3 linked regions of the Caenorhabditis elegans genome follow. The protein of the gene in region 2 purifies or fractionates together with the protein of the main gene of each other region. This does not show direct contact. Each region holds a gene or a part of one and is shown on either strand. Other genes may lie near its edges.

Region 1 (13,369 bases), on a different chromosome or scaffold from region 2:
GACGGTCTTACTATTAGAGCAACTTTTCAAAACTCTCCACTTATATAGCTGAATAAATTGGGCTTTCGAATCTCTTTACTGTTCGGGAAATAGATTGCACGTTTCAGAACTAGTCAGTTATCTGAAATTCCTCTGAATTGTTTTTTTTTCTGTCAATTTGTGTACCTTGCTAACATTATTTTAGGATCGATTAATTTTGGCGTTCCCTATTATTTCCTATTTTTATGACATTGATCGGTTTAATATTTCCTTCATTGACCTCGAAAGTTGTTGCATTGGTAAACATGTGTACATTTTCTCTCCTCTTTTTTCAATTTTACCCGCTTATCAGCAACTGATAGGCGCGACGTCGCAAAAGACAGGAATATTTCGAATTTTCGATCCCTGCATTTTTTTTTCTAACACATTTTTTCGGAGTGTGGGTATTGCATTGATTTGGAAATTCATGTTTTAGTAAACCTCCAACCTTTTTTCAGTACATTTTTCACTGACTATAAAGTATGTAGATATTATGTGAACAATGTTCAGGAGAAATTTTTCAAAAAAGTTGGCCGAGAACACATATTTTTCAAGGACAGGTTCAATGCAATTCTACAGGTCTTGAAATTAGTGGATTTTTTTCAAATTAATTTGTCAGAATTTGTCAGAATTTCTAATTTCTAAACCATATGATTTTTTTTAAATTTTCAATAAAAAACTGTCAATCTTCAAATTAATTTCAAATTCCAAAATTAGTGTCATTCCCACTGAGTGATCTGTGTATAGAAGTGTTAAACAAACGATTGAAACGTTTTTCCCTCTTCCGATTATTTTCTAGTGTGCCTAGACGAAAAGACAACTATTTTATATAACCAGAGCGCTGGGTAAACTTTGTGTTTGTCAAATGACATTTTCTCTCTCTCTTTTCTAAATTTACAAAAATGTGCGAGAAAGAGAGAGAGAGAGAGGGGGGGGAGAGAGAAATATAGATAAAAAGAACGGTGTGTTGAAAAAAGATGAAACCTGTTGCCAAAGGGCGCCCATTTGGTCGTCAAGTGTTGATGAGACGAAGAAAAATGATGACGATGTGCTATGTTTGGCCACCTTTCTCATCAAGCCTTTTGTTCCAGAAATGTACTTTTACAATCATTCACTTTTTGAAATTACTTTTTCTGGAGATTTTTGGAGAGCTAGGAAATTTGAACTCTCAAAACTTTACATTATGTAATTAAGGAATTTGTTTGTTTTTTAAAAAGATATTGTGAGTCGTTTTGATACGCCGAGACTGGGGGCGCTTCTCCTCGCCTCTTCACTCGCCCAACTCGCGCCCGAACTTTTAACTCATGTGAACCTTGTGTTGTATTGTGTTCATATTTTATTTGCATAAAAATCAGTAACGTGAAATTAAAATTAAATAATGCGGTTCAAGAATCTAAAAAAAAACACGAACGTATTAACTGACTTAGGATTGAGATCATCCTCGGTTTTGTTAATTTCATTTGCTCCGATTTTCATGAGATTTGTTGCATGACGTATTCATGCAGCTATTTTCTTGTTTTTCCCTTCAAACTGCTAATTTTTTTTTAAATTCAATCAGAAATTTTTGCAATAGGTTCGCTATTTTTGAATCGGAATTTTTGTCCCTTTTCAAAATTAATTGTGTATTTTTCTTTTTCTTTTTTTTTGATAGATACAAATTTTCAAATAGTAGTTTTCTAGTTTGCGGGCATATATTTTCCAAAATCAGAAGCTTGTAGGAACTTGTATGATTCATGATTTGTTGTGACCTTGGTCTATAATTCATGAATAATATTATTATTATTTTGTTCTTGTTCTGCCATAATAATCACATTTCCCAAACACTTGATTTTTCAAAATCCTTTTTTGTGCTCAATCGTAATTACTGATCCTGCTTTTTCACTCATTTCTCTAATCTTTATATTTCATTTCTCCAAAAAATGTGTCTGAGTCTCTACTATAAACCATTAATCTCTCACTATTCTTTTTCTTTTCGTTTCTCTCTTCAATGCCATTGAAGCGGGGAAAAACCGACGACGACACACACCACACACACACAAACAACACATTGCATAGGCTATATCAAAAAATTATTAAAAATGTTCTTTTTTTTTTGATTCTTATAAAATATTTGTGATTCTTTCCCATGTAAAATTCCGTTTGAACTTAATTAGTGTTATCTAAAATGGTCTCTGATCTTTGATAGTGTCTCTTCAAAAAGAGGGTTGTACGGCAAATGTTCTCTTTTCGATATGGTTGTTTTAGATAAAAAATTAATATAATGTAGAATAATATTTAGTCAATTTGAACACAATTCTTGTTTTGATTGAATTTTTTTAAAAGTATCTAAAGACTGAAAGTTAGTCACTGCTGAAAAAATGGGTCAAAGTTTTGGCAAGTTTCGGTAGTTGGGCTCTATTTCAAACAAAATTTAGGATTATTTCCAGAGAGTTTTCGAATTTTTCAAATTGCTTTTGCTTTCATAAGTTTGCTTATTGCAGAGAAATCAGCAATTTTGTAGATTTTCCGCACACCCTAAATATCAGGTTCGACAAATTTTAAATGTTCTATTTTCAGCAACACGTTTGGATCAATTCTTCATCTCTCATTTGAACAAAAAATTTATTTTTCATCCTAAAATCTAATTTCAACAAAATAACTATCGTTTTTTTCCTTCCAGATGAATTACTAATTTCACTCTAGTTTTTGCAGAATTTTTGCACTTTCAGTTAATTCATTCATATTAAATTGATCTCTATAATTGCAAATGTCATTTTCTAATCATAATCCCATTAATTTCTGAAACTTGATTACGTAGAATGCATAAACTTTAAGTTGGCAGTCCAAATACACATGCAAATGTAAATTCGACCCTTTCTCGCCCATCTGCATTTTTCATTTGAGGTCATTTTACTTTTGTGACCAACTTTGTGTTCTCTGTGGTCTTTTACTCTTTTTTCGTGATGATAATTATAGTTATAGCAAAAAAAACAATTATTGTGACAAGCTGTGTCCAACGTTTTTCATAAATGTTCCTATAACTTTTGCTCCTGGGGTTCGGAAAGTAATCAAATATTTTTAAATATGATTTGTGTGTGAACTCTAGAAAACTTTTAAATTATGCTGTCAGATGCAGAATTTTCATTGACTAGCAAAAACACAAGTCGAATGCAAACTTGATTTTAACTCTAAAAAATAGTATGAAGAATTTTTTCTATTCACTTTTCCATCGTGGGTGCAAAACGGCAAAACAACCAAGATGTGGGCGGAACCATTACACCCTTTTAAAAAATAAAACTAATTTTGGTGAATATTTTAAAATAGATTCGAAAATATTTTGAAAAATACAAAACATTAAAAGATAAATGTATTACTTTTCTGAAAAAATTCCGATGAAAACAACTAATGAACTTGTTTTCATTTTGAGCTTTTCAGTTTCAAGTATTAAGATTTGAAATTCCTAGTTTTAATTTCTGGCCAGTGAACTTTTCTTTCATATTTCGTTTGATGTTTAGTGTATCACTGGTTTTTTTGCAAAATGTTTATTTCTAATTGATTTGAGTTTCTTTAAAAGCAGAAGTGATTAATTTAGGTTATTTTAAAAGCTTCAAGATATTTATTCTTAATATTTATCGCTAGAAACTAAATTTATACAGGCCCCATCATTCCTCTCGTTAATATTTTGTTGATTAGCTTGGTTAGTTTTCTCTTCGTTAGACGAATTCCCCAAATCTAGGTACCTAGAAGCAGTAGAAGTGTTGTTTTGATATTTCCTGTTTATATCTTCCATTTCTCTTACTTCTCACTCTTCTCATTCCTCTAACTTCTGCTTGTTGTGTTCTTGTGTTCCATTTGATTCTGCTCTTGCTCACCGGAGCCACGGCAGCAAATGCAACAAAAGAAAGGAAGAAAAAACGAAGCACACACGCAAAACACATGGCATATTTTCACTTTTGCATCGTTGTCTCTTTCTCTTTCCTTCTTCATCTTCCTTCTTCTTGCTTATGGCTCATGACACCACACCACTTGTGCTCTCTTGGCAGGAAAGCCTGAGCTCACAACTTCTTCAAGTTTTCAGAATATTGTTGGATGGAGAGAAAAGGGAAAGGGGATTTCTGAAAATGATCGGAGGTGAATAGAGTTGGTCAACAAATCTTTCTTTCTCTAGAAGACTTTTCATTTTGTTTTTTATTCTGTTTGCTATGTTGTCCTCTTTTTTGTGCTGTGCTTCTTCTTTTTCTTCCTCTCCTTCTTGTTCTCAACCTTCCAAGCGGTAATGGATTTCTCGTTTTCATTTCCTTTTCTGCAAGATTCATGTGATAATTTCTGTTTTTCCATGTCTCTTTTTTTCGCAGTCTTCATTCCAAATTTTGTATAATCTTCTGATTTCTTTTATTAAAGCCTAAGATCTCAAAACTTAAAACTCAAGATCTTCCTAATGACTTTGTCTTGTGAAATTCTATTATTTGTCATCATTCTCTTGATACTCAGTTATTAGAACTCTTATAGTTAGCCAATTTGTGAGTCATCCTCTAAACATGAATAAATTTGAAAATATTGTCATAATTTCGAAGTTTTCATGGATTTATTTAGATTAATCTTTTAAAGATTGAAAATATTTTGACAAGCTCCTTTAAGTTCGAATTTCAGAAGAATGCAAAATTACTTTTTTTTTGGAAAATTAAACAACTACTAGATTTAGTTTTGAAAACTAATATGTAAATTATTAGATCTGCAAAAATTGAGTTTGTTTTTTCAATATTTTGTTTTCACTCTATTCTCTTCTGCTCAGTCGATTTCACTTATAACCTTGTTATGCCTACGTGCATATTTGCAAAACCTCATTTCGTGCAATTTTTATTTTTCAGGTGATTAAACCCGAAGAACACAAAAAATAGGCAGAAGGCATACATATATAGAAAAAATGGAAGATATATTGATGCCTGAAGGAGAGAAAGTTTCCATGGAGAACTTTGCTCTCCTCAGAGTTCTTGGAAAAGGAGCATATGGAAAAGTATTCCTTGTGCGAAAAGTTGGTGGAAAGGATCATAATACTATATATGCTATGAAAGTGTTGAGAAAGACCAGAGTGAGTTATTTTTGGAAAAGAAATGAATTTAAAAATAATAATTTCTCATTTATACGGTGCTGAACCTTTGTATTATTATTTGTTTTTTCATCTCTCGCCAAGAGCGAAAAAACCGACAATTGCCGGAATTCATATTCTTGAAATGGTTTTGAACTTTTCGAAACAAATAACTGGATTGAAAAATTTTTGAGAGATGGGAAAGTGAGGTGAAATAAAGTTTATAGATTAGTATTTTAATATGAAACGAAAAAAAAACAAATTTGATTGCAGGTGCTCACAAAACAAAAAACCCTGGAGCACACAATGGCAGAGCGTCAAGTACTTGAACGTCTACGTGGAACACCATTTCTTGTCAATTTGTTCTATGCTTTCCAAACTGATACCAAATTGCACATTGTAATGGAATATGTGAGAGGAGGAGAATTATTCACACATCTTTGCTCGAGAGGTCATTTTGATTTAGAAGCTGCTAGATTTGTAATTGCTGAACTTGTGGTTGCAATTGATAGTCTTCATCAAAGAAAAGTTATTTATCGAGATTTGAAGCTTGAGAATATTTTATTGGACGAAGAAGGACACGTTAAGTTGACAGATTTTGGATTAAGTAAATTGTTTCTACCCGGAGAGTTGGATAGAGCCAATTCATATTGTGGAACTATTGAATATATGTGAGTTTTGAAATTTCCAGCCAAAGTTTAGGCACACTGCCAAACGTATTTGGAATTAAAAAAAAAAAGAACTTATCAAACCTCAGAATTATTTGCATGTCAATAATTTAAACATGATTAGAATATACAATTCGTAGTTTTTGATGTAGTTCCAAAATTAGGATTAACAAAAACTGGGTAATTGCTACTTTTTGGTTGTATATTAAAAGGTATCATTTTTTGTTGAAAATTATTGATCATTGATATTTGATTATTGAGCTATTGAATTTTTTCATTGAGATTTTCATATAATTCTTTACAAACGAAAATTGGCACAGACGGCTGTGTAAAAGTAATTTCTGAATAGATAAGAAATAAATTCTCAAGTTTAATGATTCCAGGTCGCCAGAAGTAATCAATCGCCCTGAAGGAGGATACAGTGATGTTGTCGATTGGTGGTCTTTGGGTGTAATTTCATTTGAATTGCTCACTGGATGCTCACCATTTACTGTAGATGGAGCACAAAACTCTAGTAAAGATATTGCCAAGTAAATCATTTCCTCATTTTCTTTATAATTTCTTCGAGTTTTAGACGAATTATGACAAAGAAGGTCCCTTTCCCAAAAACTATGGATGTTGATGCTCGCGATTTCATCGGCCAATTGTTGGAAAAGAAACTTGAAAAACGTCTCGGATACAATGGAGTTGATGAAATTAAAAATCATAAATTTATGTCAAGTATTGACTGGGATGCAGCTGTTAAGCGTACATTGAAGCCAGTGATTGTTCCAAGAATTGGACATGATTTGGATACACAGTTCTTCTCAGCTGAATTCACTTCTCAGCCACCATTATATTCTCCTGCAGAGTCACCATTAAATGCTAATACTCTGTTTAGAGTGAGTTTTTTCTTAACTTGGCAGGCACCGATTGCCGGATTTTGAGCCGAATTCCGAAATATGTTTGACAAAAATAAATTTCCAGAAGAAATTATGTGATTACAGGGATACTCATATGTCTCCCCATCTGTTATATTTGCCAATGACAATGTTATCGGTGAAGAACTAATGGCTGAAGATGTCAATGCACTTCTCGCGAGTTCTTCATTTTTTGCCAAGTACAAACTAGACAAGTCGGACGCTGGTCTTTTAGGAAAAGGAGCTTTTTCGGTGGTCAGGTAAATTTTTATATTTTCATCAACATTTCATGTGCTGGAACTATTTTCTAGATTCGAAAATCTCGAAAAAGTTCAACAAAACGTTATTTTTACATAGTTTTAAAGATAAAATATACAAATTCAGACGATGCGAACGCGTAGTTGACGGAGCCCAGTTTGCAGTCAAAATCGTATCACAAAAGTTCGCAAGTCAGGCTCAACGTGAAGCACGAATTCTTGAAATGGTTCAAGGACATCCGAATATTGTTCAACTTCATGATGTACATTCGGATCCTCTTCATTTTTATCTCGTCATGGAGATTCTGACTGGAAATGAGCTGCTCGAGAGAATTCGAAAATTGGAACGATTTACAGAGGTTAGAATTCTTTTAAGCATTTCTTTAATTCGGAGTTACTCTGAAAATTAAATTTTTAGAGTGAAGCAGCAGACATCATGCGGCAGTTGGTATCAGCTGTGAAATATCTTCATGATAAAAGAATTGTTCATCGAGATTTGAAACCAGAGGTGAGTTTCAATGATCAGATTATGTTAAGTGGCTGCAAAATAATACAAAACATAAGAATAAAATACTTCCAAAAAGTGAAACAAATTAATAATTAAAGGTGGAGTATACTCGAGTAGTTAGAAAATTATGACGCAATTTTTAAAAAAACGGGCACAGTTATTCTTATTCCAGAATATTCTATTTGAAAGTATCGATTCAAGTGCCCGCCTTCGTCTAGTCGATTTTGGATTTGCACGTCTACTTCCAAATTCAATGGAACAACAACTGAAGTCTGTTCAAGTTCTGCGCAAGATGTACGGTCTCATCGCACACAATCATTCACTCCACTCGGAGTAACATTTAGTCTAGTCAAAAGTTATTGTGTTTTGTCTTTTTTCACTCATTATTGGGCATATTTTTGTTTTTTTTTCTTAACTGGGAGCATGTGTCTCAAGCTGAAAATTTAAAAGAACAAATGTTCGAAAAAAGTTACTTTTGGTAGAGAGGAAGACGGTGGTGTGTGATGTTTCGTGCATTCTTGTTACAGATTATCTTCTTTTTCTATCCTTTTAAACCTTTCTTTTCACTTATCTCTACTAAGGGTTTCTTTCTTGATTTCAGAGATTTTTGAAGAAACACACTCATTCTCTGACTCTCACTTGATTTTCAAGACAAAGCTGTTTACTAACAATTCACAAACACTCACATTAAGTTTCTCAAATTTTCTGTAAACTTGAGAGTTAGAGAATGCCCAATTCATCTTTGAATAACGTTTGTTTTCACTAATAGCTTCTATATATTTGCCTAACTCTCACTATGAAATTCTTCAATCATAATTACAGGACCCCCTGCTTCACACTACAGTATGCTGCTCCAGAAGTTTTAGATGTTGGAGATTCTCAACCAGAATACAACGAACAATGTGATTTATGGTCACTTGGAGTTGTACTGGTTAGTTGTATAATTTTGTAATAATTTAATGTTTCAAAAATCGAAGTAAAAATTTTGAGAAAAAACAAAAAGACCCCTCAAATTTAAGAAACGATTGATAATCGATAAAAATCACGAAATGGAAGCATGCAACTACAGTACCACATCGTGAAAAATTTTTTGGACGCATTGAGAACCCTGGTTATTAGAAATTCATAAGAAATATTTTAAATTGTGTGGCACATTTTCTACGAATAAATTTTTCAGTTCACAATGCTATCGGGTCAAGTTCCATTCCATGCACGTTCTCGTCAAGAATCGGCAACTGAAATAATGCAGAGAATTTGTAGAGCAGAATTCTCATTCACAGGAGACGCATGGACAAACGTGTCAGCAGATGCTAAGAATTTAATAACCGGTCTTCTTACTGTGGATCCAAAGAAACGTCTTTCAATGCAAGAGCTTACAGCTCATATGTGGCTCAAGTCTTCGGCTTCAATGGATACACCACTTCAAACTCCTAGTATTCTGCCATCATCAGCAGGTAGTTAAACTGATGTTATTGAAAATTGAATAACCTAATCTTTTGACTTTTCAGATGAAACATTCAATGAGACACTGCGCGCATTCCTCCACGCTAATCGTGATGGATTCCATCTTCTCGATGTTGCTGCTGCTCCTCTCATGAAACGACGCGGAATCAAAAGACAATCTGGGGACAAGGATGCTTCTGGAAACTCGAAAAAGTGAGTTCAAGAACCCTAATATTTGAAACTCCTCCAATTTGGGGTACGGTTTCAAAGTGCACAAGAAACACCACATTTGACGACATTTCTCTAAAATTTTATTTTTTAGTTTTTAAGTTTGCAAATAATTGTAAATTCCTTATTTTATACTATTTAGAACGTCTATTCAAATATTATATTTATGAAATTATTAATAATAATTATTTTCTAAAAAAATATGATACTTCTAATTTTGATCGCATTGTGAACATTTTCGTTTCTGAAAATATACTTTCATTTTCAACAATTTATGTCATTTTCCAGTTCGCGAGTTACCCAATTCGAGTGTCTTCCGGAAGAACAAGAAGCAGAGATGACATCATCAACATCCCGTCCAAGCAATTTGGGAATGATGAACTATCGAGAACCAAATTCTGGAACAATCCGAGAAACTCGTGGCTCAGACTCCTCCTAGACCTTTTTCTTTGTTTCTTTTAATTTTTCTTCCTTTCTGTTCCTGTTTCTCTCACTGTTTGCGTTGTGATTCTTTCGTCCTAGATGCTTTCTAGTCTGTACTCTCTCATTATTCTCACTATTTTACAAATTTTCCGTCACCTGACACTTGTGGCATTGCCTTCTCTATGAGTACAGTTGCTGAAATGTTCATTGAACCTGTAGTGATTGTCATTTGTTAGATATTTCGCATTTCTAGTCAATCCTCTACCAATTTTGAAAAATATTGTGATTCGTGCATTTCATTTTATGTTATTATATCTAGTCTCATGTAAATTTCTAATTTTTTATAATCATTTTGTTAGATACACATATCTTTATTCATCCACCTATCCCCATGTAATCTTTTCATTGTCTCCAGTGACTCCCTGAACTCTTGAACCATTTCCAGAAATTCTTCCATGTTTTGCGATGAGCATGATTGACTTGCCAATCGACTTTTTGAAAGATTAATAAAATTAAGTAATTCGTTTTACATATTTATTTTGGAGAAGGTTTGAAAGCTCCGAATCATAATATCGATTGAAGCATCAACGTGAAAACCTGATGTAATGTGAGAAAATAAAATATGGAAGTGAAAGCATTTTAGAGAATATTTTTAGCGATAAGAGCTTGGTGAAGACGGTGAAGTGGCAAACCAACCACATTCGGCATACATCCTTCGATTCCACGAACGAAGACAGCGCCAAAGTCACCGATTCCATATGAACCTGCTTTTTTCCTGAAATTTCGATTTACTAGGTCAGTTATTCGTGTTTTTTTATTGGAGTTTTCAAATGTCGTGATGAAAATGATGAAAAACGTGATGAAAATTTTAAAAATCCCTCAAGTTTTGCAGCTCTTTCAAATACTCATAAAATGTTCAAAATTTCTTGACCGCCAATTTTTCTTTCATTTTTATGACTTTAGATAAGAAATTCAATTCCAAAAATTTTGATAACTTTCAATCAATAAATATTTCCATAACTTTTTTTTGCTAAAAAAAACTAACAATGGCTCTCCGCTTTTTACATATTCGTCGATAACTCTATCAGGAATATCTCCAAAATGAACAATTGTTTTCTCGATGATCTCTTCATATTGATCAGTTTCATGATAGTGTAGAGCCATTCCAGTATATACATTATGAGTATTGTTACGAAGTCTGAAATTAATTTATACAATTATGATGTTGAAAATTTAATTACCTTTTCAAAGTTTCTTTAGCGTCATTGGCATCTGTTGGTTTTCCAATAATTTCTCCATTGAATTCGATTACTGTATCACACGCAATAATAACAGAGTACGGCTCCTTAATAATTCATATATTAATATAATATCTCAGTTTTTATAATTTCAATTTTAGATTTTAAAAATATGGTAGCAGGTCTCGATATGCTGCAGCACTCTGAAATTTTGCGCAAAAAGTTTTAGGTCGCGTCGAGAAATGTTGCCGTATTTTTTTTGTTGAATTCCGATTTGTTTTTCAACTAATAACTATATTCTCAAGTTACTGAAAAAATAACTATACCTCTTTTCTTTTCATTTCTTCCACAATAGTCGTCAATTTTCCTTTAGCTGTTTCAATGACAAACTGCTTAACTGGCAATGTTTTTGGTAGATTTTCCTCGAAATTTGAAACTTTTACGATTACATTTTCCAATCCCTGAAACCGAAATAAATCTTTCTTTTTGTAGATTCTCATTTTCTCACAATTTGCTGCAACAATTTGAGTCGATTTGGTGACTGACTTGCCAATACAATAATGGCTTCTTTCATTCCGAACTTGCCGTCGTGGGCGAAACACGTGGATCTGAAATTTCGATCGGCTCTTGTGCTCAGTCAATTATTCACAAAAAGTTGGGGACATCCGGATGTAATTAAACAGTACGTTTTGTTTTAATTGAGAAATTGAGAAACTAATAGATAATTAATTATTGTTATTATTATTTTAGAATGGCAAAATATCGCAGAGATGTCATGTCAAAGAGGCTTGTGATGGATTATGTGAAAGAACTTAATCCCAAAATCGACATTGTGAAGGTAAATTTTAATTTCTCAAAAACATTTTTCAATAATAAATAATTCTCAGAAATATTCAAAAAATGGCGTAACTTCATACGAGGGATTTTTCGCAAGTCCTCATGCCACTCTCTTTCCCAATCATATGCCAGGAAACGTCGGTCGAGCACATTTCAGAGCATATCTTCCTCAGAAACCAGGCCCCGTATGCATACATTTGGCAGGCACCGGAGATCACTCTTATTTTAGGTAAGAAAATTGAAAATTTATTTTAAAAAATACGGTACCTGGTCTCGGCACGACAAATTTTTTTGTACTTTAAAACTCGCTGCAGAGTTTTTAACTTACAGTTTCCTTTAAAGGCGCACACCTTTTTGCATTTAACAAAATTCATCGTGTCGAGACCGGATACCGTATTTTTGTCACAAAGATCGAAAAAGTTTGCGTCTGAATAATACATATTTAATCTAAAAAGAGAAAAAAACTCAAAAACTGAGATAAAAAGTATCGCATCTTACATAGATGCATAAATCGAATAATGATTCTTATCAGAGACCACAAAAATTTCGAAAAAATGCAAAAAAATCAAAACTGGTATCATAGATCACTATTATTTCAGACGTCACTATCTTCTTGTTGATGACATGCTTAAGGATGGTGTGGGATCTATTTTAATTCAAAATCCATTTTATGGAGATCGAAAACCACCGAATCAATTCCGTTCTTCTCTTGAAAATGTGACGGATCTTTTTGTGATGGGTGCCGCTTTAATTGCAGAATGTAATCATCTTTTCAATTGGTCTGAGACACTTGGATATGGTCCATTTGCAATTTCTGGTGTCTCGATGGGTGGATTTATGGCTCAACTTGCTGGATCAAATTCGCAACGTCCAATATCAATAGTTCCTATTCTTGCATGGACGACAGCATCACCATCATATACGGAAGGAGCTATTTCTCCAGCTGTTAATTATTCTTTACTGCAGAAACAGCTCGAAGATCCTCACTATGTTGATAAAATCCGAAGAATTCCGAATCAAAATTGGCTGGATAAAATGCGAGAGATGACTGCGAGAAACGGTGATTCAGAAGCCAAGAATATGATGAGAATTTTGATGGATGACTTCACAAGTCTTGAATTCTATCCAACACCAATAGACACATCACTATGCCATGTATTCTTGGCTGATCAGGATCAATATGTACTGCGAAATCAAGGGACACCAACATATCAACAATTATGGCCTAATGTAACTGTTGAAATGATGGAAGGATATGGACATGTTACAGCATATCTATCGAAACATGATCTTTGGCGTCGAAGAATAACCGAATTGCTCAGACGGCAACAGCAGAAAACAATTTAAAATAATTTGCATTTTTACTAGAATTTTGATTTTCCGTTTCTTCTTGTGATACTAGAACTCCCATAGCCAAATTTGAGATTGTCTCTATTTTGACATTACCGGTTTCTCTTTCTCAGTGTGCCTTTTCATAAAATAGAACTATGTCGGTAATGAACATTTTTCAACCAAATTCTACAAACATGATCTCCATATGCGATTTATAATTTAAAACTTTATTCGTCTCCACACTAAAAATAAATGTCGACGTTTTACCATTATTTGGTTTATTGGAAAAGAAAAGAAGGTATAAAAACGTGGTTACAGAGAAAAAAAAACGGATAAGAGATTTCCTATATAAAAAAAATATTCGAGAAAGTAATGATGCATCGAAAAAGTTCGTGAGCTTTTTAGTTTAAAAAGGAGTCTGACTATTTCGAATACAGCAAAAACTCTCAGAAA
Region 2 (9,505 bases):
TTCATTTGTACTTGTTTTATTTCTCTCCAAAATTTCAGATCTATCCCAAATGTTCTTAAATTTAATGTTTTCTACAGATACTCAACACATCTTGTTTCATCTCATCCTTGCTTTTTTTTTTCAAATATATTCAGTTTCTTTTATAATTTTAATTAATCGAATTAATACATTCACGTAAAGAATTTCGTGGACTATTATTTTATCGCATCCAAATGATTTATTCCCTATTGTTCGAAACTTCCAAATTGATCATTTTTAAACACGCCTCATTAAATTGAAAGTCGTACTTTTAGTCTCGAACATGAAGTAAGTTATTTTCTGTGTTCTAAATTCAAAGTGCATTCCAAAAGGACATTTGATGAGTTTTCACGAAAACCGTAATTTTTACAATTTCCTTTCAGTTTTGAAGATGTTCGATTTCTTTCCTCTGTTGGCGTCATTACTACATTTGCTTTGCTGCTTCACTTTATCGAGATTCTTGCCATCAATGGAGTTCCATCTAGACCGATAGCAGTCTTCATATCATTATCCCTGTATATTGTACTGTTTCAGTATTTTAACTTATCGATTACGTACTATTTTCAGTGGTTCACTGTTTTCGGTCAATGGGTGACACGTGCTCGACGAGCAATTTTCAACGAACGCAATCTCCTAGTCACTTATCAACCAAGAGCCCTCACCCATGGACATCTCTTTGTGGTATTTGCATGATTCAACGAAGTTTTAGTCTTAAGATTCATGATTTCAGCCAGATCCGCCGACGCCTTGTCGTCTGTCCATTACACCATGTGAATCGGGAAGTGACACGGAGTTCAAGAATGCACGGGATGCTCATTACAAAGATGAATTTCATAGAGCGATTAAAATGGCAAACGAACGACTAGTAATTCGACAAGAGGTTCAAATATTATTTATTTACATTTTTAATACTGGAAATGCTTTCAGAGTACCCAAATCATGAGAATGGAATTCAATACTGATACAAGCTCGCCACCAACATCTCCGGACAAGTCAGAAAAATCACCCGAATTCTTCTAAGATTGACTTCAATAAAATTATTATTTTTCGTTTTGTTGTTAGATATACCATTTTAAACAGTTTCGGTCTGAAAATATCGGAATGTTGGTCTTCTTCTTTCATTCTTATTTACTATTTCAGGCGAGAAATCATGCACCAAAATAACGGAGATTATCGGGTAAATAATAATAAATGTTTACTAAAAGCTACAGTACTTTTGCATCCTTCAAGGGAGGTGCATTCATGCGGAAGAGTCTCGCAGCGAAAACGCGATAGCGCTTACTGTAGAATTTCAGTTTGGAAGATTCGAGTTTTTTGGGCCTCCATTTTTCCTTCTTTTATTGAATTTTCTCAGTTTCTTCGGCAAGGTTCATTAAGTACAGTTAGCCATCAATTTTTCTATTATTATGTTCATTCTGAATGAATGCACACGCTTTCGAAAAGAGATAAGAACATTTATTTCAATTACTCTGCAGGAAGGTAGAATCAATGCAAGTGAAAGCGCGCGAAACATGTGTTTTCAAAATCTATGACGAAATCTCTATGTTCTAGGTGTGGAAACCCGCAGTTTCTTTTAAACAAAAGTTAATATTGTTGTTTTATTAACACCCCCTTTGAAATTTAACTCGGTCTACCCATTTTCCTACACGACTTTGCTTCTTTTTGTTAATTTTTCTGATTTTTTAGCATTCAAGAGAGCCAGTTAACATTTTTAAAACTATTTGGTATCTATAGTTTTTTCCAAACAAATATTCTCATCGTGTAAAAAATTTTCTCATTGAATTCTAAAGCTTTGATGTTTTTCAGGTCAGAGGATCTCGTCCATCGAGAAGTTCTGAGCACGCCGGCCCTTCTCTCCACTGCAAGAAGCCCGAAGGTTCCATTAGAGATACTCTTCGACTGTCTGGCAGCTTCAAAATCTACAAAGAGCCTATGCCGGAACTGGTATGTGACATACACTTGGAAAAGCTTGCGGAAAACATCCAAAAGTATTCGAAAATCGAAGAAAGGAAATACAGAGAAAACGATATGCATGTGAATGACGATTCACATAGTTCCGATAGTAGACCCACATCGGATAATGAAGTTAGCTCGAGCTCTGACAGAAATAACGATGAACCAAGTGTGCGGAGAAAGAGAAAATCCGTCGAGAATATGTGTCATGAACGAGAGCACCACGGGGATCATTTACAGATGCAAGTAGCTTCAGTGATTGCATCGAACCTGGGACCCATGGTGGAGATTGTGGAAAAGAAGCTCTTGCAACACAAAAATGCGGAAAAACTTTTGGTAAGCAACTGGAGTAAACTTGATTACTGAATATTTCTTTTTCAGAACGATGGCCGGGAAGTTTTCATTAAAACGTTGGAGGAACATAATCAGAAAAAAGGTATTGTGATAATAATAACATTTATTTGTCTCTGTAATAGCTATAGTGGGTGTCAGATGCTTTACATATTTTTGATTAATTTCTTTAAAGGCTCATTGTAGGGAGACACTTTTATTTTGATGATAGGAACTTTTCACAGCACATGTGCCTTCCATGTAGCTTTAAAAAATATGTTTCCACTGATATATAATCTTCCGCACTTTTTTATCTAAAAATAATTTCAGAAAAGGTTGAAAGAAAGGCGAAGCTCGTAGCAATACCACCAATGAAAGCTAGAAACAGGAGGTCTTCACGCAATAGCTTGGTGTACATAGATGGTCCTTCTACTTCTGAAAGTCATTCTTCAATGGTTCAACAAGTTCCCATCATCGACAACATTCCCGAAGTGCTCGAAAATGAGACAGCTGTCTGTTCCATTTCTAGTGAAGCAGATCATAATTCGAGAGGAATCAAAGATAATCAAGAATTTGCAATTGAAATCAGTGGGGAAGTGTCTCGAACCGACGACATTTGTGATGACTTTGCCGTGTTCCTCAAAAAATGCACAGTACTATTGACGAAATTTATTGACTCCTACTATGATTTCCGTTCAACTATGAAACTTAAGCCAGAAGATGCCATTGAGCACTGGAGTGCTGAACGTTTGACCAAAGAGGAACACGCCGCGAGGGTCACAAGATTTGATGTGGCGATCGCTAGAGCGACACGTGTGCAGTATAACATCGATATCAAGCTTCTAACAAAGCAAAGTTTTGTGTTTGACGATGATCGTGAAGCTGCCATTAATAAGAGGCTCGCCCGAATCGAGCGTTTTGTGAACGAACAACATGAAGAAATCAATTGGTTTTGTTTTTCAAATTTTTCACTCATGGATATTGGAGAAACGAAGGATAGATATTGTCTCGGCGATTTTTATGACAAGGTATTACAACTTTTAAAATGTAAAATGGCCACGAAATACTGAATTTGATAACGAGACTGTTTCAAAAATTAATTTTTTTTTTTTTGAAGTCTTGTTGTAAAATTCGGTTTTTAGGGTCATTTTAACTATTGAAACAACACAAAAGTTTGATATATAATGTGTATTTTTTTCGCAGGCTATCAGTATGATTCCAAAAGTGAAAGATGTCCCGAGTGTGGTGCAACTGGCGAAAGAGTGTAAGATGTGGTCCGCATTTGAACGAATTCTCAAGCAATACAATTTTGAGCCGCTGAAAGTTTTTGAAGAATTGCAAAAAATGCTTGAAAAGGTACATTTCAGTTGTTCTGTTCGAATTTAAATGTTTACATAAAATTAATTTTCAGGATTATTTTCTACCGAAAGGTAAGATCTTCTGCCAATTCTTGCTCAATGTCGCCCAACTGTTTTCCTATGATGTCGTTAAGAATGAATGGTCTTGCATCAAACAAATCGACGGGACGTTGTTTTCGGGAGTCCCATTTGATCGCGATGGAAGTGAGTTGGCTGAAAATTATTGAAAAAAAATTAGAAAATTACATTTTTCATCTGAAAAATTGGAAAGTTAGTCTGAAATTCTGAAATATCACAAAAGAAATGCGAAAACGATAAATTTAAAAAAAATTAAAAATCCAAATTAAAAAAAAAACCGAAAACTTCAGATAATCATAATAATCTATGTATTTTTCAGATCTACTCCCCACTTCTCAAAATTCGCCGACCGAATGCTCTTCTTGATTGTGTCATTTTTCTCATTTTTCCATGTAACACATCTAATCATTTCATTTTCATCTTACCATTTTCATATTTTAAACTTGCTGCACAATACATTTTTCCTTTTAAAAATCGTTTTTTTTTTCAGTCTTTTTTGGTTTGAAGCCAACAGTTATTTATTTACTTTTAAACAATTATTTCAAGTGTAATTGTTTTGCTTTTCAGGATCAATGGAGCATCGTGAATATGTTAAGAACAACATGCCATTGATCGGAATTGGCACGTGGCAGGTATTGACTTCGAATAAATCAATTTTTTGACTAAAAAATAAATTTAAGGTTCAAAAAGAAGAAATTCTTCGTCAAGTGATTGATGCAGGTTTCAAAGAAGGATATCGATTCATTGATACGGCACAAGTCTATAACAATGAAGCTAAAATTGGTAGAATCTTGGAAAAATTGCTTCCAGCAAATGGGTTGAAGAGGTAGGTTTTAAAAAATTTATAATTGTTTCTAAATCTTTTTTTAATCCTGCGAGAAAAAACTGGTTTTGGTGTTTCTTTGATTTGAAACCCATTTTCTCTAATTTTCAGCAAATTGTTTCGCTAAAAATGTTTAAATTGAAAAATGAAAAAAAATTCGACAAATTATATTCTAAACCAATAATCAAAGCAAACATTTAAAAAAATTTAAACTAGGTTATTCATTCAATATTATGTAATTCAAATATAGTTCAGCCACTTTTAATCTACAAAATTGAGAAATAATTTTTAAAAATTCAATAAAACCACAGAGCCACCAATTGAAGCTATCTTTTTTTCAGAGAAGACATCTGGATCACGTCAAAGTTAGCCCCATCTAATGCTGGCGTTAAGAAAGCTCGGGAAAGCATTGAGGAGTCACTGAGCAATCTTAAAGTCGAATATTTGGATCTTTTGCTCATTCACTGGCCTGGAAGTTCCCTGAAAAGCGAAAATCCGGCAAACAAGAAACTGAGAGTGGAAAGTTGGAACGTTATGTGTGAAATGATGGCTGAAGGAAAATTGCGTTCAGTTGGGGTCTCTAATTTTGAGATTTGTCATTTGGAAGAATTGAAAAAAGATTCTAATGTTGTCCCAGCAGTCAATCAAGTTGAGTATCATCCTCATTTCCATCAGGACGATCTGGTCAAATACTGTAACGAAAATAACATTCATTTCCAGGTGGGATTTTTCTAAATCTCGCTCTCTTGAAGTTTTTTTCAGGCGTACAGTAGCCTTGGCAGCCCAACATATCGTAAACAATTATCCGAAGAACCTCTGATCAAAGAACTTGCTCAAAAGTACAATGTCGAGATTCCTGTGCTCCTTCTTGGATTTGCTTATTGCCAGGGAATTAGCGTACTTCCGAGAACTACAAATCCAGAGCATGTTGCTACCAATTTTAAAGTTACTAAGCTGGCGGTCTGTTTCTAGATGGTTTTTAGTCCTAATGTCTAAAATTGGGATTTACAGATTACTCAAGAAGACATCGATCGTTTATTGGCTTTGACTGTCGAACACAAAACTTGCTGGGATCCTCGCGTAGTGGTTTGATTTCCAAAATCATTTATCATTATAAATTTAAAGCTACAAATAATCCTCTATATTCTAAATAGATGTATAAATTTTAAATGCCGAGTTATTATTTCTTGTTGTTGAAAGATCTCGTGATTGAGTCGTATATGGAAATTTTGAGCTGTCATCGAATATTTAATCTTCTTTCTTCGCTTTCGCGCCTTTTTTCTCCTTCTGCTCATTGTACAAATTGAGAAGATCGAATGCAAGAACACAGTTCTCTTCACTGAACACAAATGGAACAGCACGACGACTATCGTTGACTAGTGGACGACGAGCGATTTCCTTTGCGTCCCTAGAAATTACAGATTGGTTGAAAATTAAAATAAAGCTTAAATCTTACTTGAATACACAAATAGTTGGTAACTGTCGTGACATTGGATGAGCATTCACACGGAACCGCTCGCCTTCTTTTGCCCATCTTCCAATATCCAATTTCCCAAACTTCATGTTTGGAAGTGTGAACTTTTGACTCAATTCCGCAAAAACGGGTGAAGTATGTCTGCATTCTGGGCTCCATGTTGTGAAGAATTGAATAACCCAGATGGTATTTCGATTTCTGGTAAGTTCTTCGAAAAGCTGTTCACCTTGGAAATATGTCACTTGCTCTGGACCGTTGTACACGGGTTCAGGGAAAAGAACAGTAACGACTGAAAATTTTAATAATTATTAAGGAGATCGAGAGAAAAACTCACTTAAGCAGGCTAAAATATAGATGATTCCAGGCAGAATATCGGCACGAATGAAAAGGAACATGCCGGCGATCTTTGAGAATAAAAATATATTGTTGACGTAGTGCATCCAATTCGTCGCTTTTCGTCCTTTCCATGCCAGAATTATCAGAAGAAACATGAGAATCTCACGCTCGCGCTGAAATTTCAGTGTTCAGTTGCTTCAAAAAAAAAATAAATTCTTAATCTAACCGAATCAATCTCGCATTGCTCATTTCCTTCAACTGCAAACACATAATCACATAAAGATGTTGATCGAATCACTGGGAACGCCAGCGCTAAAAGAGTGTTGAAGAAGTGAAAAGCGGTCAGTGCTCGACGAACTTCATCGAGACGAGGTATCAGCATTCTGTTGTCTGCATAATAAAATTATAGAAAAATCAATAATTCGAGTGTTTAAAAGTATGTTGAACAGGTTGGAATAGTTTTAGCTAAAAAGTGTAATTTTAATCTTGACAATTATGTAAAATTTAAATTTAATTTTTCTTCTACCGATTTTATGAGAAAGTAATAAAGTATAAAAGTATAAAATGTTCACTGGAACATGAAACTTGTCGCCGGAGAGCAAAAAGAAAACCGAAAAATGTTCTCGTTGCTCCGATGGCCGAGCTTCCAAACAACTATTCATTTCTAGGCCACTGAAACAAAATGTTAAAAGTTTCAAACTAAACTACGTTTTCTTAATTTTTATTGTTATATTATAAGTAGACGAATACCGACTTTCAAATAGCATAAAGCTTTTCTGTTGAAAATCGTTTTTCTAGGGCCTGAATGAGTAATGAAAGTATTTGAAATGGAGTTGGAAGAGTTTTTATACTTTCTAGGCCAGGAGATGTTTCTGTTATTTTTCGGGATTTAAACATTTATTTAATTACTTTTAAATACTAATTTATAATTAAATTTTTTGTTCAGAATGCTGGGTTCAAGTCGAAACATTTTCCGACGCCTAGCTACATCGTCTCGAGTTCTTTCCAATGCGAACAAAAAGACAGTAGAAGATATGACGCAAGAGATGTTGCAAGTAAATCTCTGAGTAAATATATTAAAGGCAAAAGAAAATTTCAGATGCCAGTCTCAAGAGTTCCTCCAACTATTCAACGATTCGCGACATCTCTAAAAATGAAATTCAAGTCCGACGGTCTTGATCAATCAGTGAAATCTATTCTTGACCGCGCATCAGCTCAACTTTATTACAATTGTGCAGATAATTATGATTTCGCAAAGCTCTGTGAGGCATTTGGACTTGGAGATTATATGTCTTCGTGGTAAGCTTTCACCTTTAGTTTTTTAACCATTATTACTCCAAAACTTCAGGTACAAGTTGACACTAATGCATACATGGATGGTATTGATGAGACTTCATTCAGAATTTGATGGAAAAGCATACATGAGATTACAGCGAGGTCTTTTATCAACAATGTGGCTGGATATTGATAATAGGTAAAAAAATAAATTTCAGAGAATACTTTGAATATATATTTTCAGGCTAGGAATTGTGAGCAAAGAGTTGAATCAAATTATGACGGGGCAAAATGATATGAAGCACATGCACGGATTACATTTGCAGACGTTTTTCGAATATGACGAGGTTTGCTTAAACACACAATGCGGAAAATTCGTTTACAAAAAGCTATTCTAGGGATTCCTCCACGATGACCGTGTTCTTGCTGGTGCCATTTGGAGATGCTTATACATGAATCGAGAAGTTGATCCAATTCATTTGCTGAAAGTTGTGACATATATGAGATCTACAGTTGCTTGGTTGGAAACACAGGATACGAATCAAATTCTTGTTGAAGGAATTTCCGAATGGAAACAACTCCGGCCCTCCACTTGATTTTTTCCTTTTATTTCAGTCTTCAACAGTTTTATTTAGTTTTTAGATTCGATGTTTTTTACTCCGTTCATTTTTTTCCTCTCATTGTTTATACGCGTGTTTCTCTCCACTCTTTCCCTCGAAATTTTTGCAATAAATATCTGAATTTCAGATCCATCAAAAATGGCAGCAAAGCGGCCTCCAGCCTCGACTCTGAAGTGGTGTCAACAGGAAATGGGACCAATTTGTGAAGGAATCGGGATGGTCGTGAGAAGTCAAATTGGGTATGATGGACGGAGAATTGAGAAACAGATAAGACGAAAAGCATTGCAGACGGTTGTTATGGGAGGACAAGATGTTGACCCATTGAAGGTATGATTTAAATTTTCGAAATTTTGATTATTCTTTGAAAAATGATATACTTACTCCAAAATGTGTATTTTGAGTATTTATAAATATATACACTGAACCAAAAAGATAAAATTTTAATTTTCAATGATTTTCTTTTTATTCTGTTTTTCAACATTTCCCTAATTTCCATATTTCAGGAACCAAACAAAACCAATGCTCCACTGCTTTCCCCAACTCTTCCTTCAACAAACGAAGCTCTGCAAAGAGCAAGAGTGGTTGCTGCTGGAATTGAAACATTCGCCAAACTGATGTCTCAAGGCACTTATCCTGGATCAGCTGGCTTCACTGTTTCGGAAACAGGCGAGAGAAAATATATGAAACAAACGTCTCCAGTTCAATCGAATATCGTTGCGAATCTAATGGCAACTGCTGACAAATTGAGCAAAGGAGTTATTTCTCTGGCACCATTTCCCCTTCCTACAATCACTAAGCTAGGAACATGGGTGATTGCAAATCCCACAGCACAACTGCCGATTCCACCACAGCTCAAATCTGCTATCCCAGCAATAGGACAGATTGAAACTTTGATTCAGTCTATTTTGGGAGTTCAAGGACCAGTCAGTTCTGTTTCTAGAGCTCCACGAAAGTTAAAGTTAGAAGGTGTAACTGATCAAGTTGTGTTGGAACCTGAAACAATACACGGTAATTTTCAGAAATATTCAATCTTATAACCTTATTTATTTATAGCAACTGTCGATGTTGAACCAATTGACAAAACATTAACAAAAGAAGAAGCAGAATTTCTCATCAAAGCAGCAAGATCTGTTGATGACGACAACGCTGAGACAGCAATCTTTGGAACTCAGAAGGCAAAACCAAAAGTCTACCGACCAGAGCTTCCAAAAAACTTTGAAGTTAATCTAGAAATGGGAAA
Region 3 (9,425 bases), on a different chromosome or scaffold from region 2:
GTCTGACCTCACTTATATCGTCAATTTATTTCATTTCCTTCGTGCATGTGGGCATAAGACTATTCAGTCTCTGAAAAAACTTTTTGCGAAAATAGTAGTTTAAAAAATTAGGCACCATTTTATTTATTTTACTTTTAAAGACTAAAAAAGTTGATTTGGAGTAGAAAACAACTAAGTATGTTTGTTTAATAACTTTTTGTGATTGTGCCAATTCGAACATTTGTGATTGTGTCAGTTTTTAATTTTAAAATCCAGGAATTGGAAGCTTTTATTTCAAGATTTATTTTTAAAAATAAGTATGATTTTTTGCTTTGTTAGTGTCTTTTTTTTTAATTTATGAAAATCCCCGGAATTGTAATTTCAAACGTATTTAAAAGTTTAACTCTCAATGGTTTCTTCATTGTTTCATAAACTATAATTTTCATTAATCTGTAGTTGATAATAGAAAACCGTTTCTGCAAGATTAATTTTCCATCATATCCACTTATGTCAAACTCAATTTTCGTCGAATAGTCAGAGACATGCAAGGTCGAACCATGTGTCATTTTTCCTGAATATACGTGACTAGATTGAGCCAATTTGTATCATCTTTGTGAAGTAATATTCTGTGGAACGATCTCAATGATACATATAAGATGACGCAAGCCTTTATCCATAGATCGGCAGTTTTGAACTTTTTTTAAAGCAATATTTAATTTAGAGAGATGTTTGTCTTTGGAATTTGCAAACTATGTTAGCCAGCGTACGCCAAAATAATATTTTTCAGTTATTAACATACGCGACTTGCAAAATTTCGACATTTTTCTGTGAAAACAAGATTAGAGAGGGTTTCTCAAAATTTTATGAAACGCTCCTTTTATACATATGCACGTTCGAATTAAAGATTAGTTTTGGACGTATCTAGTTTTTTTCCAAGAAATAAAATGCAGAACATACTCTTTTTAAGAAGGTCATTTGACATAAAACATCTTTGCATACTACCACAACAAGTTCCTAATCCTTCCTTTTCTCCGTCACTCAATAAAGCTCTGAGAGCACTCAAAAATCATCGAACATGTTGGTGAGAAAATGATGAATCAGTTATTAGTGGCGCGAGAACCCTGAAAAATCTTTGAAAAACCGGGATGACCCCAAAATAAGTTGTATTTTCTATTCTGTTCGTCGAACTCTTCTCGTGCTTTATTGAATTTCAGTTCTTTCTCAGAAGCAATTTTGTTGGCTTTGATTTCAACAAACTTAGTCCCGCCCATTTGTTCTTTCAACCACTAATTACATACCACAAAACTGTCTTGATAATTTCTATTTATCACGCAACTCGTTTTTTCTGCCACGTCATCAAGCTGAAGTTCGAGACTTTTGATTGAAGGTTTCAAGATGTTTCAGCTGTTTCCTCATTACTTATCTTGCGTAATACCTAGTCAATTGAGTTTTAAACGGTCCCTGAAAACTTTGAGCATATAATGGGTCTTTTATTTGGCAGGTCGTCTGAAAAATAAGCGGTCTGGGATTTAAGTTCACTTTCTAATCCTTTTGCATCTCTAGCTAATTGTAAGCAAAGAGCTTATAACTGTACAATAATAGTACATTTTTAAGAACTTTTCGAATGTTAATTTTATAAAGTTTCCATATCATCATTTTGAAATAGTATCACGTTTTTCAAAGCAAGTTTCAGACTTGTGCCCCAGTAAAATACAAAATAAAAACAAAGCGATAAATAACTTGTAGTATATTGTTCATAAAAACACCTCATCACTATTTATTATTTCTACCATATCCGCCCTCTGGATATAAAAGAGTACAATTCCACGTCACTAACTATGTATGTTTTATCATGATATAAACTGGGTTTTTATTCCAGTCTGTTCATAATTTTTTTGCCATTTCAAGCTTGTAATAAATTTTCATGAATATAAATTATTATTTTTTAATTCAATTTAATCAATCAACTTTAATGTCATTGTTGGAGCTCATGACAGAAAGAAATCCAGAATATTCTTGTTTTCAATCTAAAAACATTGAAATTTCAATCAAGAAAGTGTTCTGCAATAACATTTTTTTAACTTCGTGCACTTTGCTGGATGCAATTTCCTATCTCATTTCCTCTTGTCTTCAGGTAATCGATGCATTTCCTTTTTTGAGCTTTATAAACTATCTATTTCAGATTTTGGATATATTTTAAAAACTCAAAAATCTTTGAAAACTCTCATTATTCTTGAGAGTTGTTCCACCCAGATTCTCCCTTTTCCGCTCTATTAATACATTTTAATAATGAGAATAAGACGCTTCTTCTTCCTTATTCCTCATTTTCAGTAAATATGTTATAACTCCAACTTCCACTTTTTTGTAGTTTGTCATTTCAAAGTACCTTATGAAAGTTCTTTTTGTCAACTCCAGACAGACAAGTAACGTCAGTTGACTAAATGATACTTTTTGTTTAATTATTGCTTTTCGTTCTGTTTTCATATAAAAATCTTCCGCCTGTGATGGGATGTGTTAGTTGTTTTTGAAAATATTTTGAATAAAGTGGAAATAATGCAAGAGTTCGGAGCACAATAGGTGTGCTCAAAAAATATTTATTCCCGATGCTTCTTTTTTACATGTTTCCTGGTTTTGTAGCTCTCTTGAAAATCAATTTTCTTATTTTCGTTTTTTTTTCTAGGGAAAATGTTTCTTTGCTCGACAAGTGTATATGACATTTCTCCAGCTCTGTAATTACAAAAGATTTCGAAAATTTTCAATCGACAATTTTCAGATTCAATTTCTCGAACAATATGCAATTGACTGGATGGCCCGAATATGTTTCAATGATTTATCTTCCAATAATACTAGTTGGATTAGTTGGAAATGGATTGTCCCTATACGTCTACACAACTCCAAACATGCGAAAGTCAACTGTCGCCTTCTTACTCTACTCACTTTCAATTTGTGACATTTTTGTGCTTCTTTTTGCGCTTCCACTATATAGCATCTCATATTTGCCTATTTGGTTAGTTTGCAATATTTTTTTTAATTGGTTTTAACTATCTTGTTTTCAGGGACAATGTCTATGGTGCTTGGTCAATGCGCCGTATGTTTATTGCATTTTCAACAAAATTCTTCTATCCGTTATGCATGACTGCAAAAACTGCAAGTCTTTATATAATGGTGGTGATTACTGTAGAACGATGGATTGCAGTCTGCCGACCGTTACAGGTAAGTCTTGTGAAGTGAAATTGTCAATAGACAATTGGAAACTATTCACATCAGAATTTTATTTCAAATTATAATCTCAACACAGAAAATCTAATTTGAAAATATTTACAGGTCCACATTTGGTGCACATTCAAAAACTCAGTTAGAATTGTTATAGCCATCATAACATTTTCAATTATTCTGAACTTCCCTAAATTCTTTGAATACCAAATTGGCTATTCGGATGCATTGGGATACTGGCCAAAACGTGGAATTTTGGATGCAGAAGAGCACTGGTGGTACTACATTTCATATTTTATCATCATTTCTGTCATTTTTGACTACCTTCTGCCATTTGTTATAATGTTCATTGCAAACATGAAAGTCATCAATGAACTGAGAAAATCAAGGAAGGAGAGAGCACTTTTGACGACTTCGGTAAATATTTTACACGTTTGTATTCTATTATTATTATATTTCCAGCTTCAAAAAGAGCAAAATACAACTGTGATGTTGTTGGTTGTGACTATTCTCTTTGGATTCTGTCACTTTTTCAGTATGGCTCTCAAATTGTTCGAGAGCATTTTTAAAGATTTTCTCAATCGACACGTACGTTTTTAAAAGATTTAAATAAAATAATCTGAACATGTCATTTCAGAATGAATATTTCGAAGTGATGATTGAAGTATCTAATATTCTCATCGTCATTCATATTGGCACGACATTCTTCATATATTACTTTTTCTCGGCTAGATTCAGGAATATTTTGTGCTATTTGTTCAAGTAAATTTTAAAATCAAAATCTTATTCTTTCAATTAAATATTATTTTAGAAAACGAAGCAACCTTCCGGATAATAGCCTCACAGACTTGAACAAACGGAAGCTTCTTCAAAAATCCGATTCAATATGTACTTCACTGGCAAAAACATCACCAAAAACATCAATGGCATAATAATCTGAAAATAGGATATATAGTAGTCTCCCAATCTCTTGATCTTTTGTTTCTGATATTTCTTTTTTACTTCCTTGGATCTTTTTGTTCCTGCTTGCCATCCTCTTCGGCGTCATAATAATCATTCCGAAAGTTGTTTTCCTATATCTTACGAACGGTTCAATGAAATAAAATGTTGTGAATTTTATTTATGATATGCTAAAAATTAGACGATATATATGGAAACAAACTGTCTGGTTAAGGAAAAGTATGAATATATAATTTTAGCTTTTGAGATAGTGATCTCGGTACAAAAATCAAAAGTTAAAGGTCTAAAGTTCAAACAATCATGCAACTTTCCAAATATACTAACAGAAGCCACATTCTTGGAAACCTCCAGAAAGTGCGAAGCATCCTGCACGTTTTTAATGCATAGTTTAAGGAAAATATTGAAAATGAAGAAGTAAAAACCAAAAGATGGAAAAATTATTTATGAGAATAAAAGAAGGTAATCATGGGAAATTTAGAATCTCAAAAGTTTGTTCCTCGAATGCTTTTGATTACTTCGGAGCAAATGAAAAGAAAAGATGCAATAAATGAAACCAAAAAAATAGGACTTGTGATCTTTAGGAACTAGAATTAAAAAAATAACCAAATGTTAAATATAGATTGGTTTTGATTTGTTCAAAATATCGTAACATGCAATTGTGAATTTTAAAGTTCATCTACTATTTTGAGATAGATGAAATAAAAATTTTAACGGAAAACGATATTTACCGGGAATTATACAAACTGTACTAAATTAACGTGATGAGATTTGCGTTTTTAGGAGGAAGCGGTGGGTGATAAAAATATAATATGCTATGAAAAAAACGTTTATTGTACAGAAATAAATGAAATTTCATTTTTGAATGGGTGAACAGTTGTTTTCATTTTCTTGTAAATTACAAAATAAAATTTTTCTATCATTTGATTCCGCATTTTGTAGTACGCGAATCTTGTAGCTTGTGTATTTTGTGTACGCTATCAGTAAATGATCGAACCTGTGTGTTCAACAGTTGGTCGATATCAGAACTAATATATAAATTGGCTAGACAGAAAAAAAAGGACTCACACTTTCAACTTATTCAGCTAGTTTCGAGATGAAAACTTTATTTGAAATTATTGATAATCCTGATTCATCTAGCCCATTGTGGAAACAATGGAAAAATTTAGTGGACACCGAAGGATGGACATCAGATGACAATTCGGTCACCGAAATGGTTCCATCTCTTCCGACCACGCGAAGTGTTTTTGCAGTTACTAAAACGCGTAAGTTTTCTCTGTTTGATATTAGTTTTAGAAGCACGTGATTTATTATTGCAACAAAAAGATAAGTACTAGTTAACTAGTTTGAAAAAGGACCGATATGTTATCAATTAATACTTTGATTTATTAGAGACATGCAATATGATTTTAGACTAAAATCTTTAACTTTTTATTGTGTTTGTTTTAAACTATTTATTTACAGTTAATTTTGTAAAATGAATAAACTTTGGTGATTTTGGCGGAGAATTTTGTAAAATTGAGAAATTTTTACAGCAGAGCGGAGCATGGTTGGAAGTGTTGTTTGGAACGAGTATGATGATATTTGTTGGTTAGGCTTTTACCTTTTGGCTCCAGAGTATCGTGGAAAGGGCATCGGGTCGATGATCTGGGCTCAAGCAATGTCTCGTATTAGGAAAGACTTGGTTCTTGGCTTAAGAGGAGGTTTCTTTGTATTTTGATTCAACTTTAAAAATAAAATACCGATTTCAGTCGTCAAAATGGCTCCAAAATACAAATCCCGAGATACTCCTGTGGATGGAGCGTTGCTTGAAAATTACCGTTTAACTTCAAATGACTTTTATTCTGCTATGAAAAATTTTCAAGATTTGGGGCTTGTAAGTTGAGAATCGTCGTACTTACAAAAAATGCATATTATATAACAGATTCAAAAACGCGTGAGAGACTTATCTGAAACAGATTGGGAGAAGTTTTTGAAGTACGATAAAAGTGTGAATAGTAGAGATCGTCGAGAGTATTTGGAGATTTATTACAAGAAACTTGATTACACTATTGGAATTGCATTTTTCAATGAATCTGGAGACATAGATGGTGTTATTTCTGCGGTTCCTACTGGTCATCAAGGTACTAGTTTTTTGAATTATTGAGGAATTCAGTTAATGACTTTCAGAAGATAACAATTTCAAAATTTGCCACCTTTACGCAAATTCATCAAACATAGCATTTTACACAATGAAAGTCCTTTCCGAAGTTATGCTCAAAACATATCCTGAAGCTACTCTCATTTTCCATCTTGTTGATACTCCTGAAGGATCCTTCACAGTTCTTCATAAATTTTTCAAAAGCCTCAATTTGAATGCAGGTGTCAGTGGATTAACACTATACAGTGATGTGTATCAGCCCAAAGGAGATCTTGAGAAAGTTTACATTCCATTTAATAGCTCCTGTCATTTTGATTACTGATATTTAGAATATTTCAAATTTGATGATAATCAACTTTTTTTTTCCTTTAAGTTGACATTTATATTCAATAAAATAGCTTTCCAATTTATTACAAACAAGCTGATCTACATGGAGATCTTAATTACAGTCAGAAAAATGAATGTACAAAGTTCCCAGAAACACGAACTAAAAAAGCAAGTATTGTTCTTTTGGCATTGAAGGAGTTGCTGGAGCATTGAGTGGTGTGACAAGTGTAGAAATAAGCTTCGAAAGAGATGATGATTTCTCAACTTGTTGCATATCAAGTACAAGACGATCAGCAACTCGAGAATCTTCCTCACTGAGAACAGTAAGGCCCATCGAATCGAGAAGTTGGTTTACTTCTTCGAGAGTTTTTTTGGAAACCTTCGAATTGGTGAACATCTGAAAGAAAGATCTATGAATCAACGTTTTTGTTTCTTCTGATACCTTTGCAGTCTTTGTCTCATGAATGGGGCTGTACATTTTGACAGACACGTGATTCGAGTGAATTGGAGATTTTTCACCGTTGAGGGAGATGATTGTGGCATTTGGAACAGCTTTAGCGGTATTAATGAAGAGAGAAGATTCATCGGCAGAGCATGCATCGATGATTTGATCAGCAGCTTCAATTTTCGAAATATCGGTTGTCACATTAATCTTCTTGAAGTTCTTGTCAGCGAGTTTTTGTTGTTGCTGAAAGAAATTGCAATTTATTTTCGAGAACTTATTTTCAGGTTTTTATATTAAAAATGAAAACAATATTTCTGAATTCTCACTTACTCTAATATCATCGATGAATTCGAATGGAATCTTTTTCTCAGAGTCCTCTTGCAAGATAGCCTTGATGACACTTGAATCGAATTTCAGAGCATTGACCTTTCCACTTGGTGCAACAAGAGAGACACGTCTCCCGGCAGCGCACACTGTAAATTGTAATTTAAGTATACATTTTCAGAATGACAAACTTACAAAGACCGACGACAGTTTCAGCAAGAACTCCACTTCCAACAACGATTGAAGACATTTTCTGAAATAGAAACAATGAAAGAATATATGGTTAAAATGTGACGTGACCGCAAGAAAACAAAGAAAAAGCACTGAAGAAGAACCAATGGAATGAGAGGAAAAAGGAGCTGTTGCTAATTGAGAGATGGGCTTTGAATCAGCATCCGAATGGGTGAAAATGAGAAAACAACGCCCCCATGAAACTAATGCACTGATGTTTCTTTGTTGAAAAAGAGTAAAGATTTGATTAAGGATTAGAAGGAACGAAATTGGAAAAAAAGAAGGCAAATTGGCAAAAAGATGCATCTAGGCAGCATATACAATGTATTTATATATCAGCTGTCCTCACCCCGCCGGGAACCTCCCACCTCGCATCTTGACCATCTGCGTCTCTTCTTCTCTCCTTGTATTTCTTTTGTTCTCAGTCCCTCTTGGTTTGCAGTTCTTTGCACCCACTTCTCAGAGAGGTCTCGTCGGAACACGTGAACATCATGATCCCCATATGATTCCTGCGTTTCTTTTCTCGCTGTGGTCTTTTTTCGAGACACATTAATATTTTTCTTTGTTTGTATCGGTTTTGATGTGTTTGGTTGTTGGTGTGATAAGCTTGCAAAGCGACTACAAATGGTTCAAACATGTGTCCAATTTTTTTAAAAAGTTTATCTGAGAACCACATGGCCGAATAGAATGCCGAAAACGTGGAATGATAAAACACTGATTATAATTGTATAGGCACGGACCCAGCACTCTCAGTTTGTACAATTTTGTACTGAAATGAGAGAAAATGGGAAAGTTCAAAATGCGAAGCAATTTCTTAGGGAAAATAAACTAGAAAATTCAAGTTTTTTGGAATTTAATTTTAAATTTTCATTTTCAAAATATAAAATTAGCTGGCTAGAAACAATAATCCTTAAAAACGAACCCGGGACTATCTGCGGTCGATTTGTCAGAGAATTTCATTTGCATATGAATGGATGTTTAAGAACACATTTTCACATTTAAAAAAATCTCGCAAGATGAACAATGAATCTTTATACTTGTTTGTTCAAAAGGAAGATGACCGATAGTTCTTTGTTCCGGAGAGCAGTTGAGCGTTCTTTGGCTGAAAAGCATGTGATCAAAAACTCATCGAGTTCATTTATTCAAATATTTTTTTGTGATTTCAACCAAATGCCTCAATGTTTTGGTGTTATTTGAAAATATAATTTGAAAATACATTTTCTTTTATTTTCTCAAAAAATTGTTTTTAAAATATTGAGAAATTTCTTGATTAAATAATTTTCTTTGGAACTACTTGACAGAAAAATCCAACATCGCGTCACAAACTTTTTTCTTCGTAAATTTATATGCAAGGTATGATAACAATTTAGCCGTTTTCAGTTTAGCTGTTTTTGTTCTAAAATTTTCAAAATTCCTAGAATAAGTATTGAAAGCTTTGAACTTTAATCTAAAAATAATAGTGAACTCAAAACAAACCCATTACATTTTCTCTTGAAAAGCCATGTAGAAGTCTATTCTGTTTTAAACCAAGAACGATGCTCTTTTCCAAAGATTTATGTGGAATTTCTTTGGCAATGCTCTTAGGTTTAAGAAAAACAAAAACAGAAATAGAAAACAAGAAAGAATATATATTAAACACTTCTAGAATTTCAATTTTTAGAAAATGATTTTCTTTCAAAGTTATGGGTGTTTAAATTTTGTTTATATTTTCTCTAAAAAGATACAAAAATATTAAAAATATGATAGATCAAAATTTGCAGTTTAAAGAACAATTATTCTCAAGTAAATATTTTGTCGTTGAGACAGAAG

Evidence for each region.
Region 1: the proteins of C35D10.6 (region 2) and rskn-2 fractionate together in Caenorhabditis elegans (co-fractionation; one large-scale study listed by BioGRID). This does not show direct contact.
Region 3: the proteins of C35D10.6 (region 2) and F21C10.9 fractionate together in Caenorhabditis elegans (co-fractionation; one large-scale study listed by BioGRID). This does not show direct contact.

Annotation. Positions count from the first base shown.
Region 1 is NC_003279.8:8,009,547-8,022,915, forward strand, and holds rskn-2 (Ribosomal protein S6 kinase), read left to right. Parts: upstream 1-4,863; 5' UTR 4,864-4,921; coding exon 4,922-5,086; intron 5,087-5,356; coding exon 5,357-5,754; intron 5,755-6,134; coding exon 6,135-6,281; intron 6,282-6,325; coding exon 6,326-6,632; intron 6,633-6,737; coding exon 6,738-6,910; intron 6,911-7,034; coding exon 7,035-7,266; intron 7,267-7,325; coding exon 7,326-7,415; intron 7,416-7,587; coding exon 7,588-7,709; intron 7,710-8,237; coding exon 8,238-8,346; intron 8,347-8,592; coding exon 8,593-8,872; intron 8,873-8,923; coding exon 8,924-9,071; intron 9,072-9,374; coding exon 9,375-9,525; 3' UTR 9,526-10,034; downstream 10,035-13,369. Other genes in the region: dod-18 (Nucleotide PPase), read right to left, coding at 10,149-10,284, 10,555-10,707, 10,751-10,854, 11,074-11,208, 11,256-11,321; C54G4.7 (AB hydrolase-1 domain-containing protein), read left to right, coding at 11,308-11,429, 11,498-11,585, 11,635-11,813, 12,184-12,931. UniProt on the Caenorhabditis elegans protein: Serine/threonine kinase that may play a role in mediating the mitogen- and stress-induced effects on transcription. May repress transcription via phosphorylation of 'Ser-1' of histone H2A. May phosphorylate histone H3.
Region 2 is NC_003281.10:4,855,035-4,864,539, forward strand, and holds C35D10.6 (NADP-dependent oxidoreductase domain-containing protein), read left to right. Parts: upstream 1-4,304; 5' UTR 4,305-4,309; coding exon 4,310-4,369; intron 4,370-4,417; coding exon 4,418-4,563; intron 4,564-4,901; coding exon 4,902-5,280; intron 5,281-5,322; coding exon 5,323-5,520; intron 5,521-5,571; coding exon 5,572-5,652; 3' UTR 5,653-5,738; downstream 5,739-9,505. Other genes in the region: C35D10.8 (PH domain-containing protein), read left to right, coding at 302-306, 402-540, 586-699, 749-898, 946-1,038; C35D10.7 (ULP_PROTEASE domain-containing protein), read left to right, coding at 1,169-1,195, 1,825-2,307, 2,353-2,407, 2,632-3,329, 3,505-3,657, 3,713-3,863, 4,057-4,103; C35D10.10 (Thioredoxin-related transmembrane protein 2 homolog), read right to left, coding at 5,809-5,968, 6,017-6,323, 6,369-6,543, 6,597-6,752; C35D10.5 (Ubiquinol-cytochrome c chaperone domain-containing protein), read left to right, coding at 7,318-7,425, 7,470-7,669, 7,719-7,844, 7,890-7,992, 8,044-8,241; coq-8 (Atypical kinase coq-8, mitochondrial), read left to right, coding at 8,404-8,592, 8,769-9,273, 9,319-9,505.
Region 3 is NC_003283.11:9,094,480-9,103,904, reverse strand, and holds F21C10.9 (N-acetyltransferase domain-containing protein), read left to right. Parts: upstream 1-5,208; 5' UTR 5,209-5,245; coding exon 5,246-5,414; intron 5,415-5,684; coding exon 5,685-5,852; intron 5,853-5,900; coding exon 5,901-6,025; intron 6,026-6,073; coding exon 6,074-6,272; intron 6,273-6,318; coding exon 6,319-6,611; 3' UTR 6,612-6,704; downstream 6,705-9,425. Other genes in the region: frpr-6 (G-protein coupled receptors family 1 profile domain-containing protein), read left to right, coding at 2,772-2,986, 3,036-3,192, 3,304-3,609, 3,655-3,780, 3,830-3,954, 4,004-4,124; F21C10.10 (3-hydroxyacyl-CoA dehydrogenase NAD binding domain-containing protein), read right to left, coding at 6,777-7,013, 7,059-7,304, 7,392-7,534, 7,581-7,635.